Linked DNA regions of Drosophila melanogaster. The protein of the gene in region 2 interacts with the protein of the main gene of each other region in a pairwise test. Each region holds a gene or a part of one and is shown on either strand. Other genes may lie near its edges. The genes, in order: CG13083, CG4586, CG4887 and Stam.

Region 1 (3,530 bases), on a different chromosome or scaffold from region 2:
CCGCGAACTGATCATCTCGCAGAAACGCATCGAACTGGGTCTGGAAGAGTGCAGCCGACAACAGCCCTATCCGCAATATGGCCATCACGACGAGTCCTATCTTCCCACCTACGGAGCTGAGGTCCCAGAGCCGCAGCATGCTCATCCTAAGCCCAAGCAAGTGGATCTGGAACAGGTGTGGAGCATCAAGGAGGAGCCCAAGCACGGTAAGTGGTCCTTATTGCCACCAGATTAGGATCACAAATTAATGGCTTGTCGTTCATAGGAGAGCACTCTGGAAACCACAAAGCTACCGCCTATGCCCAGTCCCCCGAGCCAAAGAAGAACTATCAGAGCTCCAGCGCCGTGTCCTGGCGGCAGACGGTGCCGTGGGAGTACGGATCCCCATACCAGTCCGCTCCAGTTCACCACCATCAGCCATGGAACCCAGCTCCGGCCCACGTTCCCACCTCCGTTACCAAGCCCAAGCCGTGCCCCAAGAAAGAGCACCCTACTCCGGCATCCTATGTTCCTTTGCCACATGACCAGCCTGAATCCTACAAGCTTCCTGTGGATTACAGTCCCAAACCTAACCACGAGCAACCTCATAAGCCCCACCACGAGCCACAGTCTTACAATGAGGAGATCTACAAGCCACAGCCCATCCAGCCAGGAGAATCCTTCAGGATTTGGTATGGAGACAGTTCCCTCCCCCAAGGATACTAAAGGAAGATTTAACTGGGACTACCACTGTTACTGAAACTGATACAACTTTTCAAAGCATTTAACAAACTCTTTTTTTTTAATTCAGATTCATTACTTTGTACAATTTTTATGTTTTATAAATAAATAAAAAAAAAGCAAAGGAAATACATTTTTGATTATATTCCTAGCAAGTAATTAATAAATAACTTTTGAGAAAAAATGCTATAGTTTCATGGAAATCATATGCATCAACTTTTAGCATCGTATGCGAAAATATACATTCAATTTCCAAAAACTTTTCTCAAAATCTATTCAAAATATACGAAGAAATTTTTGTTATTTTGTATGTTTTGTAGGTAAATAAATTCACCTTACTATTAACCTATGCTATTGTTTGTTGATAGAAGCAAATTTTAAAAATATTTTAAGCTTTTTTAAAAGTTAATAGTAAAGGATCCAAGTTTGTTTAAATTTGCAAAAGGCATCTTGGCCAATTTTTGAATAGGCATGATAATATGAAGGATAATTAATTATACTGCTGTTTTCGAAATAGGAAACAAAATATAGACTTATTAAACTTTTACAAAATTACTTTAGTTCGCTTTATTACTTTATTTCTTGTAAACGATAGACAGTATGCCCGAAAACATTTGTTACGTTATCATTACCTTCGAAGACCTATTTTCTGAATGAATTTGAACAAGAAGCAGCTGGGGCACGTTTTTCAGTGGTGTTATTACTACCGTAGCACACAAAAAACCGGGTCAATCTGTTCTGTTTAGAAACAAAGAAGAATTTTGAAACGTGACACTACACGGATTTTCCCTAACTTTACCAAGATGTCGATGAACCAATAACTATTTAGTACGACTACATGCAACATAATTCGCTTTAGTTCTTTCTTTTTACAAGATGATAAAACAGTTGTTCGCGACTATCTTCTTAGTAGTAGGGAAATTCTCGTAAACACACTATTACAGATTGGAGCAGCATTTGCACCTGCACCCGCTGAAGAGAAGTGGGTGGTGACCGAACTGATAGAACTTAACCCAGTCTAAGACACGTTTTGGACCTTAAGTTGGGCTACTTAAGTTGCGGTTCGGATCGAAAAGAGACACTCAGCGGGGAGCGGCCATCAGAGAAACACCATGAGAGTGCGACTGACTTTGCTAACGATATGCATTTACCTATGCGCGGCTGCAGCTGAGGATCTGGACTCCATCCATGAGATCCGCAGTGAGGTGGAGGAGCTGATCAAAGGTACGGAGGAGCTAAACCATGGGCTGCAGAAAGTGAAGGACGTGCAGAAGGGCATTGAAGAGAAGTTCAAGCATCAGCGCGACGAGATCGAACTCATTGCTGGATTGGAGGTTGCCATAGCCAAGCTGGAATCGAACGTTCAAAGCAGCTTCCAAGCCACGGCCTCTGGAGTGGGAAATTTGACAGCCATTGTTAACGCAATCCAGGGTCAGAATGAAAACTCTATTAGGAATCTTACCAAAGTGGAGCTAGAAATCAGGAAAGCCCTGGAACAAGTGGCTGCCAATCAGAACAAATACGAGCAGAACCTAAATGAAGTGGCCTCATCCGTCAACTCGCATCTGTCGGAGATTCAGCAGCTGCTATCACAGGCCGTCATAGGGGAACTCATCGGCTTGGACAATAAAGCGAAGGTCCTCCAGGAGCAGCAGCGCAACATCGTGGGTCAAGTGGGATATCTGGGCGAACTTAAGGCTCTGGCAGATCGTGCCAATCGCAAAGTCAATCAATTGGAGTGGGGTCTGGTCATTCTCAACCGCACTCAGTCCGAGAGCCTCAACAGCATCGAGCACACTGTCCATGGAGTGCAGGTGGCCACCTCACAGGTCGATCATAAACTGGCTGCCCTACTGAACAATCAGAAGAACATTGAAAGGACGCTGGATGGCTGCAAGCACAAAAATCCGTCACACCAGAAGCCCCACGAGATCTGGACTCACCCGGAACACGCACCAATTTACAAGTAAGTTTGTATGCCCTACTTCTGGGTGCACACTAAAACCACTCTTTTCATTTTAAGGCCAAAACCAGAGGGCAATCAAGGATACGAGAACGTCTATGCATCCCAAGAAGAGGCTGAATACCTATACAAACTTTGGTATGGAAAGGGCCAGTAGCATTAATACGAAAACTGAAGATAGATGTTTTATGCCATATTCAGAAATTGCTTGATTTCCTATATCAAATCCCAGCATGTCGATTCTATCTATCTTATATAATTGTATATTAAACCGTTCTGTAACACAATGTAATAAACAAGAGTAAATGGAGGAAATCGAACTTTATAAGTTGTATATTGCTAAAAAGTGTTATGTCCAACTTTATATATCAATTGTTGGAAAACTTATAAAACTAGATAAATGCACCTGACATAGAGGAAACCGGCTCTACCTCTATAATTTTGTTGGATCCAATGGATGAACCTGACCATCATCCCGCTCAAACTTAATTATCAGCTGCGACTGATGCTGGTTCCAGTGCTCCGATCGATGTAATTTAGCATTCGTCTTCGAACGGAATTCCTCGACTGACAAATCGATCTCAATTTTTTCGTTACTTGCATCCGGATCGGCGGGGTAAGCATCATCTCCTGGCAAGAGATGCACTAATCCATTTGTACACTTGTGCACTACAGGATGAATCAGCTGAATGCCTTTGACCTCACGCTCTGCTGCAAACTGACGCAGGTTATCTAAAGAGGAGAAGTTTAGGCAGCGCGAAAGTTCATAGAATTGTGGAGGCGGCAGCCAGAGTTCTTTTCTTAGGCTCGCTTGAAGGTAGTCCAATGGGGAACGCCACTACAATAA
Region 2 (4,480 bases):
TGTGCGGTCTGAAGCAGCTGGATGTCCTGGACCTGTCCAGGAACAAGATCACCGATGTGCCCGCCGATGTGGGCGGACTGTTTGTGACCGAACTGAACCTTAACCAGAACCAAATATCCTCGCTGGCGGAGGAAGTAGCCGATTGTCCCAAGCTGAAGACACTGCGGCTCGAGGAGAACTGCCTTCAGGCAGCGGCCTTTACACCCAAGATCCTCAAGGACTCGAAAATCTGCAACCTGGCCGTCGACGGCAATCTGTTCAACTCGAAACAGTTCACCGATCTCGATGGCTACGATGTCTACATGGAGCGGTATACGGCGGTCAGGAAGAAGATGTTCTAGACTCGATTCAGATCAAATCCCTTTTTTTTTTGTGTGTACCCCAGCCTTTATTTATCCGAGTAAACTAATTTAATAGCTTAATTCAATATGTGTAATGTGTAAAACGATACGAATAAATCGGAAAAAGACAACTTTAACAAGGGCGAGCAAGTAAGTTAGTTTGAAAATGGTAAGTGCAAAATAACAAACAATTGCGAAATCCTATTTCCTTTATTAAAAAAAAATGTTATGATTCAACTTCAATACAAAAATTAGTGAATAACATATACGTATGTAGAAAACAAAAGACCAGCCCCACATCACAGCTTTCCCCGCATCATGGGCAACAAGTGGTTGTGGAAGGACGAGTTGACCGGCTCCTGGTTGATCGGATTTCGGCGTGCCTCCTCCATGAGACGCTCGTACACCCGGCCATCGTGACACCCCAGCGTGGAGCCCAGGACACGATCGTGAAAATCGAATCCATCCACCAGAGCCACCGCATTGGGTCGCAGCTTGGCCAGCAGCTCCTCAAAGCGACGCTCCACGAAGCGCAGTTGGGTGCCAGTGATGCCGTTGTTCCAACGCAGCACGCATCCCGACTGTCGCAGGAATGTATCGATGACGAAAAGCTCAACCAGTTGGCCCAAGATGAGTGAGACATTCGGGCTAAGATCGCCCTTCTTTCGAAGTGCTTCCACTTGCTCCAGTGCATTGCGTGTGAAGAATGCGTGAGCATGGGCTATGGCAGCCGAGGTGAGCTGCCTTCCAGCCAGATTGCTGGCCATCTCGGGACTCACCTTGCCGGATTGGTGCATCTTCTGGGTCTGCCAAGCATCACGCACCTGCTCCATGGCTGAAATCTCCAGCGCTCGCACACAATTCGCAACCAGATTCTTGCCCCAAATCAAACGGGCTGTATCCCTCAAATAGGAGACACTGGAGGGCAGCACCTTGCGTTTTAAGCTATCCGCATACTGCCGGACGAGGAAACGAGCTGTCTGGAGCAGGAGTACTGTGTACTCTCCCTCGTAGGTGTATGTGGCGGCGGTCAGACCATAGATGCTATCGAAATTCGCCGAGGAAAGGAATCCGTGGCCACCGCAACTCTTGCGCAGCAGATCAACTCCCTCGCTGGCCTCGTCGGTGGCCACCGCCTTGAGGCAGCAGCTCAGGGCGTGCAGCTCCGGCAGGGAGTTGCGTCCTTTCGTGCTTTCATCCTCCAGTTGGCGGAGTACGTCCTCGTAGAAGCGCCACAGCCAATCGGATACCAGGCGATAGGACACTCCTCGAGCAATTTGCGGTAGAATCTTTGCCTGCTGTGTGATGTGATCCAAAACAGAGACCTCCGGCTGATCGCTGTTAATCCGGCTCTGGCGACGCACCACGGAATACCTAAAGATAATGATAATTATTATCTAAAGAACCCTGGGTGAGCTGAATGTGTTTTATGGGCTTAATAACAGCTATGATAAACATAATCCCCAGAAACTATATAATCACCTGGTGGCAATGGTGGCAGCCTGGAGCAGTCCAAAGAGCACATCCTTCACGGTAATTACCCGCACATAGACCATTGTGCCGTAGAGCAGCAGCGGAGGTCTACCCTGGACGAAGGTGCCGTCGGTCAGGACTTGGGCGTTCTTCATCAGCATTTGATTGCGCGGTATCCGCACGTCGCGGAGTCCCAGAAAGCCGTTGTTAACGCCATTGCCACCCAGGCGAGGTCCTATATCGCCCACATCGACTCCAGTCAACGGTTCGTGTGTCCTCTCGTCCCTGATCCTCACCACAAATGATTGCAAGCCATAATGCTTGCCCTTCACATATAGCTGGGCCAGCACAATGGCCACATTGGCGGTATTACCAAGTCCGCCGGGCCACCACTTGTATGAACTTTGCGTTGGGGTGTTCAGGATGAATTCCTGCGTGATGGGATCGTAGTCGGCTCGGGTTTCCAGGCCCCGGACAAAGGTGCCGTGACCCAGCTCCGTTTGCGCATAGGTGCCCAGGACGCCGTCCATGTGCCAGGATCGATTGAGCCACTGGGCCTGCTGCTCCTCGGTTCCCTGGCTCAGCAAGGTGGTCATGAACATGGAGAAATGCACCCGAAGGGGGAAGCTCTGCTGGAAGAGGCCCGTGCCCAGGGATCCGGAGAGTAGCAGCCGAAAGTCCCTCAGCATATTCACACTAAGCTGAAGTTGTGGCTGCTTCTCCCGCTGCCATTGGCGCAGTTTGGCCAGGAAGCGTGTGGATCGGGCCACGGTCTGTTCGTAGCGCTCCTTGTATGACAGACAGCTCGGATGCACTGGCTCCGCGAAGTCGGGATCCTCATAGAAACGCCTTTCCAGGGCGCGGCGCTCCTCCAGCTGCCCAGAGCCACCCGCCCACCAGCGGGCAAAGTCCTCGCTGTCCAAGGTGGCCGCCGCCCGCTCTCTCTGCAGATCCGCATTCACAGACATGATCGCTCTATCTCTCCTTCCCGATCTCTCTTTTCCTAGAGTTTTACTTTTCTACGGGATTTCCCAACTTCTCTGCTCGAACGACTCGATTGCACTGAGAAGTTGGTGGCTGGAAGAAACAGTTCTGCAGCTCGAAACATGGCAGCCAGGTCACCAAAGGCGGGGATAGCAGGGGAATATGGTTGGTTATCAGTGATCCGAAATTAAAGATGAGTTGCCAATTAATATACCGGGATTCTTTATACATTTACCACATTATACTCATAAAGGATGCAGTGTATAAGCTATTTATGGATAACTTATACAGAAGAGGCGATCTGGAACCCCTTTGGATGGTCCATCCTGCCTACGCCTTTGGAGCCCCACCACTGCCTCTCTTTCGCGCTCTGCCCGCTGGTGCTCCAACCGCCGTTGTTGCTGCATTGGAGTCACTGAACTGAGAACTGAGCCACTCTCAAATTGCTTGAGCGCCTTAGGGTGGACCATATTCCGTATTTGTCGAAAGTTTCTCAAACTGCGTCTTTCTTACAAGATGCACTTATCATGTTTTAGATTTCGTATCCTAGGTTGTATATTTGGACGGAATTTGTTTCTTACTATTAACTCAAACGCTGATTTGTGTGTTGGTCCACCCTAGCCAAAAATGGCACAAAGTGCGTAAACATCTGATGAGCGGCATTATCTCCTAGTTTTTTAGTTCAAGTTTTTTTTACCGTAGATAAGAAAATCGTAAATATTTCTTGTTGTTTTTGTTTTGCAAAAACCCACAAAGCTCAACAAACAATTATTTCTTTTTCGTACAATAACATTTTTATTTCGTGGATTTCTTGTTATCAACATAACGTTTCTCAATTGGATGACGTTTAGAAAATCTAAGATAACCCTATGGGCCATTGTCAAATTGTTTATAAATAGAAACTAAAAGACATGGAAAGAGCGATTTTATTTATATAAATAAATAAATATATTATTATACATACGAGCTTCTGCAACCTGGATTTTAGGACAAATTCTCAATTTAAATTTCCCGCTCTTCAAGAATGCAACATAAAATATAAAAAAACACTGGCCATTTTAATAACTATAAAGAGTAATTATTATAATATTATTGATGTGCCAAAAATGCAACGTGAATTACAATTTATTTTACAAGAAAACATAAGTTTTGTAATAAAAAAAAGCTTAGGAGTACCCCTATTAAAAAGTTTTCAGCATAAAAGCTCGTCGAATGTGTGACCAATTGTCGGAGTAATTTAGTGGCGCCCGACGAATGGCCACACTGCCGGCCAGCTGATCGCCCGCGTGCAGATTTCTCGACTTTATTTTCCTTATTTGGCTGTTGTTGTTTTGGGCCGCCGGTACCGCTTAGCTTTCTGTCTTCCTCTCTCTCTGTCTTTCTCTCTCGCTCCCACCAACGGCACCGCCATGGGTAAGAACACGAAGCGCAACAAGAAGACAAAACAGCAGCAACAGCAGCCACAACAAAACGGAGTAACTGCATCCGCATCCGGCACAGCAGTCGAGGATTTTGAGGACCAGCAGGCGGCCAGTTCGTTGCCCAGTTTAAACGGCAAAAAGAGGAGCCAACTAAACAAGCTCGTCGAGGAACTGCTTGACTTGGTGGAAAAGCAACCGGCGAATCCCAACGAGGAATGGAAGCAGTACGGGCAGCTACAGGAGCTGCTCAAACAAATCATG
Region 3 (6,793 bases), on a different chromosome or scaffold from region 2:
CCATCATCGTTGGTTAGCAGAAGACTGTTCAAATCGATTCTGCGCAACAGCAGCCTAATGGACTCTATATTTATATGGTTTATCACCGCCAGATGAAGAGCTGTGTTTGAGTTCTCGTAGAGGTGGTCGGTCATCATGCGAGCGTCCAGGATGAGCGATACAATCTCGGTGTCCGTGTCGTTCGTCAGCGCAAGTTCCAGGCAGTCCTCGCCGTCCCTGGTGAGTAGTTCGTTGATGTCCATTTTCGCGTGGCAGCACACAAATATCTGACGCTTAACGCCGTAAACATCGCCGTGCAGTATTTCCTCGTGAATGGGTCTGAAGTGCCATGTGAAAAGATGATATCATTACGATGATGATGGTCTTATTCGGCTAAATGAATACTTACAGCAATCCTTCTTCGGACATTATGTGCGACTTTCTGAATTCGTTGGCCATGATGCGTATAATGCGGTCCTCGGTGTTTCCGCTTATAAAGTTTTCCACCCGGGTCAACTCATCGGAGTTGAACGATATATCCGACAAGGTAGAGTTTCGGCGTACAGGGGTTTTATTCGTGATCTGATATGATTCGAAGTTTTGCGCTTGCTGTAAGAAAGATATTTATAATAAAATCGTATATATATTTCCATTCGAGATTTATGAACTTAGTACTTTCCAGGAGGAACTACTACATCATAATAATACTTGTACTTACGGTGACATCCCTTTTCTTCCGTTTAGTGATCACGGGCGTCAGTTGCTTCTCCTCGCGCTCCTTAAGCGCCATCTCAGCCGCTGATCGCTTGACCACCTGTGGCACGCAGGTGTTTCGCTTTCTACCGCGCTTTTTAGGAACTTTGGTCGGATCTACTGGCGGTTTTATAGGTTCGGAACTTGAACTGGTCATGTGGCTATGCCTATTCCCTTTGGCTTCGCATGAATTATTTGTAATGCCAGGCATATGCGTTTCCTCGGTGTCCCAATCCGTTTGTGTAGATGAATCGACTTTTTGGACTCCGCACGAACATTGTTTACCGTGATTGGAGATAGCGACCTTATCGTTATTATTGCTCTCGTTTATCGCGTCGATCACCCTTTGGGTAAGGGCTTTGTCTGGGATTTTCATGAGTAATTTGAAGATGTCCTCGTAGACGGGCTGGAAGGACTTGCGCTGGATGTAGGTAGAGGCACTATGTGGCGCTGAGATGGATATCACTCGCAGGGAACCGACTGGTTTGATCACCAAAACATCCGAACTACTAGCGACGACTGGTTGGATGTGCTGGGCTTTGGTCAATAGAACCTTCTTCATCGTGGCCGTTTTACAATGCACTGCTCGATCTCGCAATATCTACCAGCGATAAGGCCGTCAGCTAGTGATTGAATTCGTGGGACTTCCAAGTTTAGGACGATCAAAAAAAAACTAATTGGTTTTTCCCCACGACACGCTGCACGGAATGGCAAGTAGCGGCACTCGGACGCTGCTCAACACTGCTCCTAAGGATGGTTGGTGAGCAGTCAGACAAGAGCACTGTTATTGCTGATAGCTAATGTAATGTTTGTTTTTTAAGAAAAGAGTAGTTTTCGTTAAAAAAAACTTTATAATTATGTTATGGTCTAGAACCTAGAGTTTTTAATGCTTAAAAATATATAGCCATCTTTCGTTGCAAAATACATAAATATAAAAGGGCCATCTCTAGCTTTAGAGAATTATCGGCGTTTCGCTGCGAATGGCACATCGAGTATTCTTGAGAAAAAAGATACGGTGGTCCTCCATAAGGAACCGGGATAAAAATATTAAGGCTAAGTTACCAAACAGATCGTGAAGGATTCCGCATCGAAGCTCTATTGCCACTGGTGCCTGCCCAGCGTCTATGCCAAAGCAAGTCGGCAATGGACTCGAGTAGTCGGCGCAGTTTTTCTGGTGGAAGTGAAAACGAGGGTGGACGGGGCAGCGACTACTATAGATCCAGGCCGGGGTCTCGATACAGTCGATCCAGGTCGCGTTCCCGGTAATTCTACCCTACCAGCGTAATGCGATCGTGTTTATTAGTACTGTGTACCCTTTTCAGTGAGCGCAACCGCAGCCATGGAGGAATCAGGCACCGGAACTCTCGCTCTCGAAGTCGGGATCGGGATCGGTCGCCCGTGTTCAGAAACGATCAGCATCGCGGTGGTCGAGGAGGAGCTGGTAACGGGGACCCCGACCTTTACCACAGCCTGATCAACGACGACTACAGGGATCAGGATGAGCGCAACTACAACTCCAGGAGCAACTTTGAGAATCGTCAGTTCCGGCGACATGATAGCTTCGACCGTCGGCATCGGGACCGAGATGGCGAGAGCGATCGGGAGCTAAACGACTACGAGTACGAACAGCGCTCCCGCGACTTGGACTCACGTGATCGTAGCTCCACGGACAGGGACTGGTATCACAACAGAAGTCGGAGCAGGGAACACAGCAGACCCTGGAACAGAAACAACAATCACGACGACAGAAGCAGAAGCAACGAGCGAAACACGTGAGTATAAAGTATACATACACTTCAGGCTAAATAATAAATCGGACCGTGCAGGCGCCACCGAGATCACCGCATGTACAACGGCGGTGGCAGCAACCATAATCGCGATCGAGATCGAGATCGGGATAGGGAGCAAGACCGTGAACGTGATCGAGATCGAGATCGGGATCGTGAGAGAAGGGGCTCCTCAGATTACGACAGCGATGAAGGCCACATGCGCAGGAACAAATACCGATCCACCACTGAAGCCCTCAATATTATTATAATCTTCGGTCTTACCAAGGAAATGACCAGAGCAGATGTAAGCCAAGCAGAAGAGTGGCAAATGCAACTCCTTTAATTACTCATGAACTAACTTTTTTTTTAGATTATGAGCGAGCTGATAAAGGTGAACATGGAGCCAGCGTGCATTCGCATTATCCGGAAGCAGGGAACAGGTGGGTTACGAAATCACTGACTTTGTTCTTTCAGCGTCAGACGTAAGTAGGTCCAAAAAGTTGGAGCGGCTTCGCGCTAATGGAGGCGAAGTGTACAAGTACCAATCGAATTTAACCGGCCACATGAATCGAAAAGAATACAATAGTCCACAAAAATGTTACAAACCTATCGAAACATTCAACATTTTTTGACGAAAACATTTTGTATCTGCTTCTATCCGAAAATTTAGATTCATCACGCGGTATAGCGTTTGTCGAGTTTAACACCGTTGAGGAGGCAAAGCAATGGATGGATATTACACAGGTATCAGCGCAATCGACCAGATCCCCTTGAAACTTTGATCATCATCAGCAGCCAAGGTTGTTCGCAGGCAATGATAATAAGGAATTCCTCACTGTTTAGCTTGCTTTGTCCAACTAAAAGTACTTATATGTAGTTGCAAGGAAACTAAGCACGAGTATAGTATTGCTTCATTAGAATTGCCCAAGAAAGCCACTCGAGGAGATTGCCAGCGGCTAAAACTTCGCGTTACGAAACACAGATGCAATCCGGTGACTGTGTAGAGTGTGAATGAAGGCATCCTAGCGATCGGTTACTAATCCGCAACCTTTCCTTCTCCTATTTCCATGTCTGGCGCACCAGGGCGTTCTGAAGTTAAACGACGAGCGGGTGAGCATGCGGTACAGCCACAAGCGAATTCAGGACTGGAACTGCAACAAGGTAGGTGCACTGAGATGATCATATTCTTAATGGCGAGTAATGTGTTTCGCTTGTTCCAGTGTGGCGTCTGCAACTTCAAGTTTAGATTCTATTGCTTTGTGTGCAAAACATCCCGGGAAGACAGCGAAACCACCTTCTCCTCCGGTAGCGAGGGCGTGGACGAAGTCAGCACCATCCTCACCAAAAGTATACAAACCACATAGACTCTCTTGCCATCTCGTTTTGTAGCTTCGATCGCAATGAAGTCCAACAGACCACTGACCGCCACGATTTCTCTACCACTTCCCCAATCCACGCAGAGATCATGCTACGCAACCTGGACGCCCTGACCAACGAAGAGGCTGTGCTCACTGCCCTCCAACTTCACCTAAAGGATCTGAGCAAGACCGTGAGCAAGGTGCTAATTAGTCGGGATTCCTTGACGCAGGCATCGCGTGGAATTTGTTACCTTCACTTCGACACTCTTGTCGACTCGATGAATGTGCACAATGCCTTGACAGCGCTGGATCCTCCACTTACCTTGGACGACAGAGTTGGTATGTGGCCTTAGGTGCTTTTTATAACTTAAATAATAACCAATATTTCATCCAGTGGCCATTACCTATTGCATCGACTTGGAGGAGCAGCAAGCATTGCCCAAGAACCCTAAAGAATTGGCAGTTAAAGATTCAACTGTCAATAGCGGGAACATTTCAGCAGTTTCGCCCTCAGGATTGGGTGGAAACTATACTCTGGCCGATGTGCCACGACTCGCTGAATATAGTGCCTCCCTGTACGCTTCGAATCCCGCAGAGCACGCTTATTATGTCCAGTACTATACGGAGTACTACACGGCAGATATAAACAAAAATAACAGGGATTCCCATTTGACGGAAGCCAATTCCGGAGCAGCGGTTGCCCTCTCGGCCATCCAGCGCAAGCAGAAGAAGATGAGCAGTATCGAGACCACGATCACAGCGGCGGCCACAGCTGCCGCACAGGCAGCGGCGCAAGTGAAGGCCACATTGGCTGCTCAGGTGGCCAGTGCGCCCAAGGGCAACGATGGAAAGATATACCGTATGTCGCCACTCACTTGAGTATGCTAGCATTTTATTATGTTTCATTATGTTGCAGCCACTCCCGATGTGACGCAGTACCAGTATGATGAGACATCCGGCTACTATTACGACAGTACCACGGGTCTCTACTACAATGCCCACTCGCAGTACTACTATAACAACGAGACGGGCGCGTATCTTTACTGGGATCAGCGCAGGAGCACCTATGTGCTGGCCACGCCCGCCTCCACTCAGGCAGCTCTGCAGGAAGTCCTGGCCGACGCCGAGCAAAAGGGGGAGGAGGAGTCCAAAAAGGCGAAGGAGAAGGAGGGTGGAAACAAGCACGACAAGGTTAAGGTGGCGAAGAAGATCGTCAAGGACATGGAGAAGTGGGCCAAGCAGCTAAACCAGAAAAAGGACTACACAGCTGTGGCCACGCCACAACCAATATTGGCGAACGAGGTAGCCACCACTTCGCGTGGCAATCAAGGGGGATATGCTGATGTGGGATTCTCCATTCTCGAGAAGAAGGAGAGGGGCAAGTTAAACGACTATGCGCCAAACCCGACTGTGGGTCCAATGAACAAGCTTGTCAATGCCTATGGCGGAACATCGGACTCTGAAGAGGACAATGCTGCGAGTTCGCAAAACACACAGAGTTCAGCGGTTGTAAGCGGCGGAGGAGGTGCTGAAGAGTCCGATTACGTGGACTTCCATAAACTGACATGCCTGCTCTGCAAGCGTGCCTTCCAATCGTTGGAAATACTCCAGAAGCACTTGAAGATGTCCACTCTGCACAAGGAGAACCTGGCCAAGCTCAATCAAAACACTAGCAGTAGCATCGAAGAGGCACTAGCGTAAGTGAAATCGCGATGTGTGGTGGAGTATATTATCATTGAATTCATATTCTTTCCCAGCTATCGTGATCGTGCCAAGGAGCGCAGGCTGAAGTACGGCGAGAGCGATCCTCCCCCACCAAATAGGAGCAGGGAGCGATTCGAGCAGGAGATCAAGACACTGCAGTCGCGGCAAAAGCAGTCTACTAGCGCTACTCCAGCCATGCCCATCAGTTCGAGCAACGTGGGCAGTCGACTGCTCCAAAAGATGGGTTGGTCGGAGGGACAGGGACTGGGCAGGAAGAACCAGGGACGCACCCAGATCATAGAGGTAACTGAGCTGACGGCAAGCTATAAAATGAATTAAGAAAATTAAGCATTTTGGGTTCCCTCAGGCGGACGGACGCTCCAATTACGTGGGCTTGGGCAACAAATCGGGACAGATGATACCGGGCAACGACTACAAATCCTATATAAAGAAGATGATGAAGCAGCGCTACGAGAATGCTTGAGAAATTGGTTTTTAGCCGTTTCACATGTTTCATTTCAACTAAAGTCGCCGTTTAATTCAGCTTTTCAACCGAAGCAAAAATTATTTCCATATTATATATGAAGCTTCTTGAGCATTGTTTTCCTAACAGATTGGCGTTTTTTTAAGTCCACGAGCAAGTGTGACCGTTTAGTTAATAGTTTCTGATTAAGCGAATTTAAATCCTTTTTCGAATGTACAAAATAAAATGTAACGGTGTAAAGTTTAAATTTGCTTGGTGTTGGGAAACAACTGTTAGCTGGCACTTGGTAGCCCTGGAGCTATCGGTCAGTTATCGATAACTGGCAGTCAGATACTTCGGGTGAACGGCAAAAAAGAAGACCGAGAATTTTTCTATTCGGGTTTTTTTTTTTGGCCGGATAACTGATTGTTTCTGCCTGAATGCAAAGAGACTTCCAGTTCGGGAACAAGTTTAACCAGCTTCCAATCCTGTTACAGTCGTGGTAACCAAGTAAGATGTGCGCACATAGACGGTTCATCTAATGGCAAAAGGCCAAATCACAAACACTGCATTTAATTACAATCGATTCGCATTAGATATGGATTCTCGATATGGTCACAGCTTCTCGGGCGGCAACGGAAACGGCAGCGAATCGGGCTACAGACGCTACAGTCGCTCCCGATCCCGATCCAGGTAGGTAGTCCTTTGTCCACCTGGAGCCTCTTAGTGGATTACTACCAATTGCGATTATTTCAGGGAACGAAGTC
Region 4 (5,966 bases), on a different chromosome or scaffold from region 2:
TTTGACAGTTTATTTCACAGGATATTTGTGCCACCGAATGCCGGATGGAATTTTGCTAAATTGTTGCATGTTTGCCGGATTGCGAGACAGTGGCATGTGGCAAAGCTTGTCTGAATATATTGGAATCTCATCGGAAAAGCGCACTAACACGAGCGGAGGGAGGTATTCTCCGAAAAGGGGATGAGCGCAGTTGAATGGAGCTCTAAGCATGTTAAGTTTAAAAGGGGTGCGAATCCAAAACTCGTGCTGAATTGTTTCAGTTTATAAAGCAATGCAGATTACTCTTTCTGAAGCCTACATAAAGAATTTTACCTTCATGTTTTATAGCATCGATAAGAAAATTTAAATAAATATCATAAAAATAAACAAACAATTCAAGTGAGAAATAAACAAATAATCTGCTTTCTTTATCACTAAAAAAATTTCTAAAAACTTCATCTGATTTCCAAAATTTTCTTGAAAATTATTCCACATCGATTGCTAGTGCTGAAAATATTTGAGAAGGGTAGCCGTAAGCTTTTGACTTGCAATTTTCAAAGACATTGTGTTTACTTAGTATATTTTTATGATTTTAATGAATGTGATTCGTTTCGTTAGATTTATCATAATCCGTACAATAAACATAATACATAATAGTTATCTCCCCTGCACTAAATACAAAGTTATACGTGCTGTTGAATACAGATTATTTATATGGTATATATATCTTTTTCGACTGGTATTGCCTTACTTCCAGAAAAATATATCATTTCGTTGGACCAAATATAAACACAAAAAACGAAAACTCGTAAGGGTATACTTGATATTAATTTGGCTTCTTTCGTTATTTTAAAGGATAGTCGACATATTTGGTTCACTGACAATTGCTCTTCTCAAAATGTACATAGCAGAGATTTGACAACTTCCGTTTCTCGGCAAGTTGGCCAAAACTAACATACTCGATGACATCCTTTTGTCAGAATGAAGACAAAGCTTAAAGTTGCTCGGGCAATTCAAAGCGAACCAAGTGAAGGTCTCTGTTTTAGTGCAGCGGTCTTACCGCTGCTGCTGGTAGATAGGAATGTTGTTCTTGACAGCATCGTTCTGCATGTGATAGCCGGGCGCCCCAACTGGCGGTCCGCCAGCCATGGACATGGCGGCCATCTGCTGATGCAGCTGACTAAACTGATCGTGTGGTGGTGGGTGTTGTTGCTGCTGCTGCTGTGGGGACATGTAGCTCTGCGGGTTGACGACGGCCGGCGATCCGTTCGGTCCATAAAGATTTGGTCCTGGCTGGTATCCCTGTGGTGGCGGTGCCTGCTGATGCTGCGGCGACATGTAAGCGTGCGGAGCCGGTGGCTGCTGCGGCTGCTGGATTTGTGTGACTGCGGGCGGAACTTGGGCGTACTGTGACTGGGGGTCGATGTGGTAGCTGTTCTGGGGATGCTGTGGGGGCTGCTGGCCTTGCTGCTGTGGCGGCTGTTGAGGGTGCTGTGGAAGTGGCTGCTGCTGCTGTTGGGTGGTCACGGGAGTCGGCTGAGTGTAGATTGGCTGGGGCATGGGTGCAGTGCCAGTGGGTTGAGTCAAATGGGCTGGCAGCGCTGGAAAGACGATTGAAAATGTTATTATAGGTAAATATAATAAGTATTTTAATCCTTTGTACTAACAGTTCATCTGTGCGGCATGTCCGTTCTGATAGGGCAGTGGCACCTGCCCCTGCGGTTGACCCAGATAGCCACCAGGAGCTCCAGGTGCCTGAGATGGAGCAGAAGTGGGAGGATTTGGTACGGGGCCATATGGCATCGAGTGCATGCCCGGATAATTTTGGGCCGGTGGGAATCCACCCGCTGCAGGATAACCTGGAGCACCGTACAGAGCGGCACCCGGGAAACCAGCAAGTCCAGGCATAAAGCCGCCAGCAGCGGCGGCAAAATGTCCAGCCGCAGCACGGTCATCCCGCATCAAGGTATGGTACAGATTAATGGCGTCGACGAGGTCGCTGGACAACTGCGTCAGTTGAGCGTGCTTGCGGTCGACGCGTTCCAGCTCGGCATCGATCAGCGGTCCCATCTGATGGACCTCCTGCTCCAGCTGCAGCATTTCGTCGCTGTCCTGCGAGGGATCTTCGGGATTCGCCTCGTGCAGCAAATGCAGCAGCCGGTCGATCTTTGACTCGTCGATCTCCACAGGCTGAGCTGCGGCGGCAGCTGCTGCCGCTTCAGTCTTTTGCTGCAGTGCCGCAGCGGAATCCAACTCTCGTTGCCCGGCTGCGGCGGCCGACTTATGCTGCTGATTGATGTCCAGCCGCTCGGGATCGACGGACAGATCGGCAGTGACAAAGTTCGAGGGGAAGAGACCCTCGCCGCGTTGATTGTATCCCTTCCACCAGTTTGGATCACTATCATCCAGCACATGAATGATCTCGCCGGCAAAGAAGGTCAATTCGTTTTCCTCGGCAGCTTCGAAATCGTACAGAGCTCGAACCTTTCTCGGCTCTGGCGCTGGTGCGGAACTGGCTTCGGCGCTCGGTGCACTCGAGCCGGTTCCAGCGAAAGATGGATACAATGAGGGATAGGCACTGGCGGTGCCGGTACTTGCTACACTCCCAGTCTTTGGACTGCCCTTGTTCTCCTTCAGCGACAATTCGATGGCCTTGGCGATGTCATCCTCTTCCTGCTGGCTGCTGACCACATTCGGATCTTTGGGCAGGGCGGCGGCCTTTTCGGCAACAGTCTTGCTAGTCTTATCGCCAAGATTCTTGAAATCATATCCCTCTTGGCGCAGCTTGGCATAGAGTGCGGGTATCAAGTCGAGCTCTCGATCGTTCTTATAGTCGTTTTCAGCCCAGTTCTTCAGCACTTGGCGCATTTTCTGTGAATCATAATTGGAATTAGAAATGAAATAAGTGAGTTAAAACTGTTTGTACTCACCAGTGAAACCTTTGGCTGTGCTTTGGCCAACAGGCGGCGGAACTCCGTCTCGAAATCCCGTGAAGCCACCTCCAAATGGAGCGGTTTTCCGCAGTTGTTGGACAGGGCGTCCAAAAGCGTAATCGCCTGCATCACCACATGAGGATCGGTGTGGCCCATGCGGCGCATCACCGCCTTCAGGCAATCCTTGGCCAGGCGGGGATTGGTCGTTACCTTGTCGCATACATCCAAAATCAGAGACCAGTTGTCGTTGGTATTAGTTTCGCTGGTGGCCTTTTCTATAAAACAAGAAAGGCATGAACCGCATTAGCTTATCAGTCAAATAGAAATTTATATTCTGAGTCACAGCAAAACAAAGATAAGCTTCTTCGAAAACTGATTGCAGCTAAAGAAAATCAATACAATCGGAAACTAACTAAATTGCATTAAGGGATGGCGAGGGGGTTGGCTGCGTAAACGGAGGGGGTGTGAGGGGCTGCGGGTGCTACGTCACTCAAGGTCAGCGACTGCCATCTAACAACTCCAATAAGAAGTTCAACGAACGACGCAGAGCTGCGCACAGCATCTCACATGACTTTCTTTGTTGTCTGCTCAATCGGGGGATCGGGTTCATAGGGAAAACAGGGGAAAATGGTGTGGTGTGCGGGTTTTTAGACCCCAGATAAGAATAGAAAACTATGAAACGCATATTGGACCGTTGTGCAGTCCAATTGGAACATCGGCTTGTCCAATCGGCCAACACAACAGCTTAACGATAAGTGGTAACTCACCCACGTCGGCGTCGAATGGCGACGACTGCCCAAAGATTCCCATCTTTATGACCAAACCGCTCGCTCGGCTATCTGCCAATAATCTGCGCTGCCCTGGGGTCAATAAATCCAAATCAGTTGATCTTTGTCTGTTTTCCCTATTGTTTTTCCTCTCCAATCGATTTTCGGTGCGTCACGGCGACTGAAAGCACGCTTTTGGTGTACTTCCTCCTGCGTAGACCTTTTCGCTTTTTTCCAAATCTCTTTTGGGCTGCTTATATCTTTTCGATTAGCCTAAAAACTTCCGAATAGCGCTTGCAAATTCGCTTAATTTACGTTTATTGTGTAAAAAATGACTAATGGCGAGTGTGGCCAGATTGCGAATAGTCGGGAAATCCAAAGGATTTTTTGCAGCTCATTTTCAATGGTTAGTTAGAGGTATTCGAGACTTATATTATGCAAAACATTTTTATTTATATATACATATAAATATTATTGATATTGTATATTTAAATAAATTTAGACAACTAATAATATAAATCTATTAAACATCTGATATGATTTGAGCACTGGTAGCTATGGTTTATAATAATTAAACAGTTTTCTATGCCCTTCACTCAAACTATTCTCCTACGGGTGAGAAGCGTATATTATAATAACTATGCACAATATAAGAACAAAACTAGAAGATTAATTTTTATTTAAGAAACATGAAAATATTTTATTATACGTTGACCGAATTTAAAAATACAGTGACTTAACTGCTTCACTGAGAGTCACAGAATAACTCGATTCTAGCATGCGGTCACACTAATCTCAGCATTCGAAAAAAACGCGCAAACAAAAGGGACGCTTATAGAAAATACAACTTAAAATAATTAATTTACTTAAAAATCATAATATTATAAACAAGTCAGCGCCATGACGCTTTCCCGCGCGAAGCACGCCAACCGCAACCACCTGCCGCACCTGCTGGCCAAGGTGCCCGAGGAGCACCAGGAGCCGATCAAGAATATGTGCCTCAAGATGATGTCCCACGACGCATACGGACAGCCGTACGTACAAGCAATAAGCTAATGTATCAATCCGTACTTAATCTGCTCCCTCCAGATACGATTGGAGTCCCCGGGACTTTGAGATGGGCGCCCACTTGGGACGCGGCAAATTTGGACGTGTCTACTTGGCGCGGGAGCGCCACTCGCACTATCTGGTGGCCATGAAGGTGATGTTCAAAGAGGAGCTGCGCAAGGGCTGCGTGCAGCGTCAGGTTCTACGCGAGATCGAGATCCAGTCGCGACTGAAGCACCCGCACATCCTGCGCCTGCTCACTTGGTTCCACGACGAGAGCCGCATCTATCTGGCCCTGGAAATTGCGTCCGAGGGCGAGCTGTTCAAGCACCTGCGTGGCGCACCCAATCATCGATTCGATGAACCGCGGTCTGCGAAGTACACCTACCAAGTGGCGAATGCCCTCAACTACTGTCACCTGAACAACGTGATCCATCGGGATCTGAAGCCGGAGAACATTCTGCTAACCAGCACGGACGACCTTAAGCTGGCCGACTTTGGTTGGTCGGCGCACACGCCGAACAACAAGCGCAGGACTCTGTGCGGCACCCTGGACTATCTGCCGCCGGAGATGGTGGATGGGAACTCCTACGACGACTCGGTGGACCAGTGGTGCCTGGGCATTCTGTGCTACGAGTTCGTCGTCGGCTGTCCGCCCTTCGAGTCGAACAGCACGGAGAGCACCTACAGCAAGATCCGGCGCATGGAGATCTCCTACCCATCGCATTTGTCCAAGGGCTGCAAGGAATTGATTGGCGGGGTGAGTTGGAAGATGTTTCCTTTGAGATCCATTTATTGAACAGGGATTTCATCTTTGCAGCTGCTTCGCAAGGAAAGCAAGGGCCGCATCACCTTGGTGGATGTGATGACCCATTATTGGGTGAAGGCGGGAATGGCCGAAAGGGAGCTGCAGCTGCAGAAACGGGAGCGCGGCAAGGAGAACACGGCCAGAAATTGACTGGTTTCGAGTTTGCATTGTGTAACGACTTATTTCAGATTTTACTTTTATGTTTAATAAACGGTTTATAAGATTTAATGAAGTTTGGAGTATATTTTTGAAATCTGAAAACTGCTTAAAAATAAAAATCTATTGGTAGTAACTTACTTAAATTACCTTTTTCTAATTTAACCCCTTTTAAATTAATTTTTCTAAGCCCATGCCTTACTTAGTTCCAGTTCGTGGGCCATGCTATATTTTCGCGCTTCCCGCAAACGGTCACCCTAAATAAATAAATGACAA

What was found.
Region 1: the proteins of CG4586 (region 2) and CG13083 interact in a two-hybrid assay, tested with the Drosophila melanogaster proteins (one large-scale study listed by BioGRID).
Region 3: the proteins of CG4586 (region 2) and CG4887 interact in a two-hybrid assay, tested with the Drosophila melanogaster proteins (one large-scale study listed by BioGRID).
Region 4: the proteins of CG4586 (region 2) and Stam interact in a two-hybrid assay, tested with the Drosophila melanogaster proteins (one large-scale study listed by BioGRID).

What each region holds. Positions count from the first base shown.
Region 1 is NT_033779.5:19,485,692-19,489,221, forward strand, and holds CG13083 (uncharacterized protein), read left to right. Parts: upstream 1-1,798; 5' UTR 1,799-1,832; coding exon 1,833-2,686; intron 2,687-2,743; coding exon 2,744-2,840; 3' UTR 2,841-3,000; downstream 3,001-3,530. Other genes in the region: CG13084 (uncharacterized protein), read left to right, coding at 1-206, 266-705; CG10194 (uncharacterized protein), read right to left, coding at 3,117-3,521.
Region 2 is NC_004354.4:6,968,320-6,972,799, reverse strand, and holds CG4586 (uncharacterized protein), read right to left. Parts: upstream 2,883-4,480; 5' UTR 2,783-2,882; coding exon 1,824-2,782; intron 1,716-1,823; coding exon 641-1,715; 3' UTR 535-640; downstream 1-534. Other genes in the region: CG3040 (uncharacterized protein), read left to right, coding at 1-341; Setd3 (SET domain containing 3), read left to right, coding at 4,208-4,480.
Region 3 is NT_033779.5:1,171,326-1,178,118, forward strand, and holds CG4887 (uncharacterized protein), read left to right. Parts: upstream 1-1,683; 5' UTR 1,684-1,875; coding exon 1,876-1,994; intron 1,995-2,054; coding exon 2,055-2,504; intron 2,505-2,558; coding exon 2,559-2,805; intron 2,806-2,871; coding exon 2,872-2,941; intron 2,942-3,171; coding exon 3,172-3,245; intron 3,246-3,584; coding exon 3,585-3,662; intron 3,663-3,721; coding exon 3,722-3,848; intron 3,849-3,961; coding exon 3,962-4,198; intron 4,199-4,253; coding exon 4,254-4,718; intron 4,719-4,775; coding exon 4,776-5,556; intron 5,557-5,616; coding exon 5,617-5,866; intron 5,867-5,930; coding exon 5,931-6,047; 3' UTR 6,048-6,264; downstream 6,265-6,793. Other genes in the region: charon, read right to left, coding at 1-318, 389-588, 698-1,294; CG4896 (uncharacterized protein), read left to right, coding at 6,625-6,719, 6,783-6,793.
Region 4 is NT_033779.5:10,856,591-10,862,556, reverse strand, and holds Stam (signal transducing adaptor molecule), read right to left. Parts: upstream 4,022-5,966; 5' UTR 3,723-4,021; coding exon 3,680-3,722; intron 3,188-3,679; coding exon 2,910-3,187; intron 2,851-2,909; coding exon 1,647-2,850; intron 1,581-1,646; coding exon 1,036-1,580; 3' UTR 551-1,035; downstream 1-550. Other genes in the region: aurB (aurora B), read left to right, coding at 4,580-4,713, 4,769-5,486, 5,547-5,684.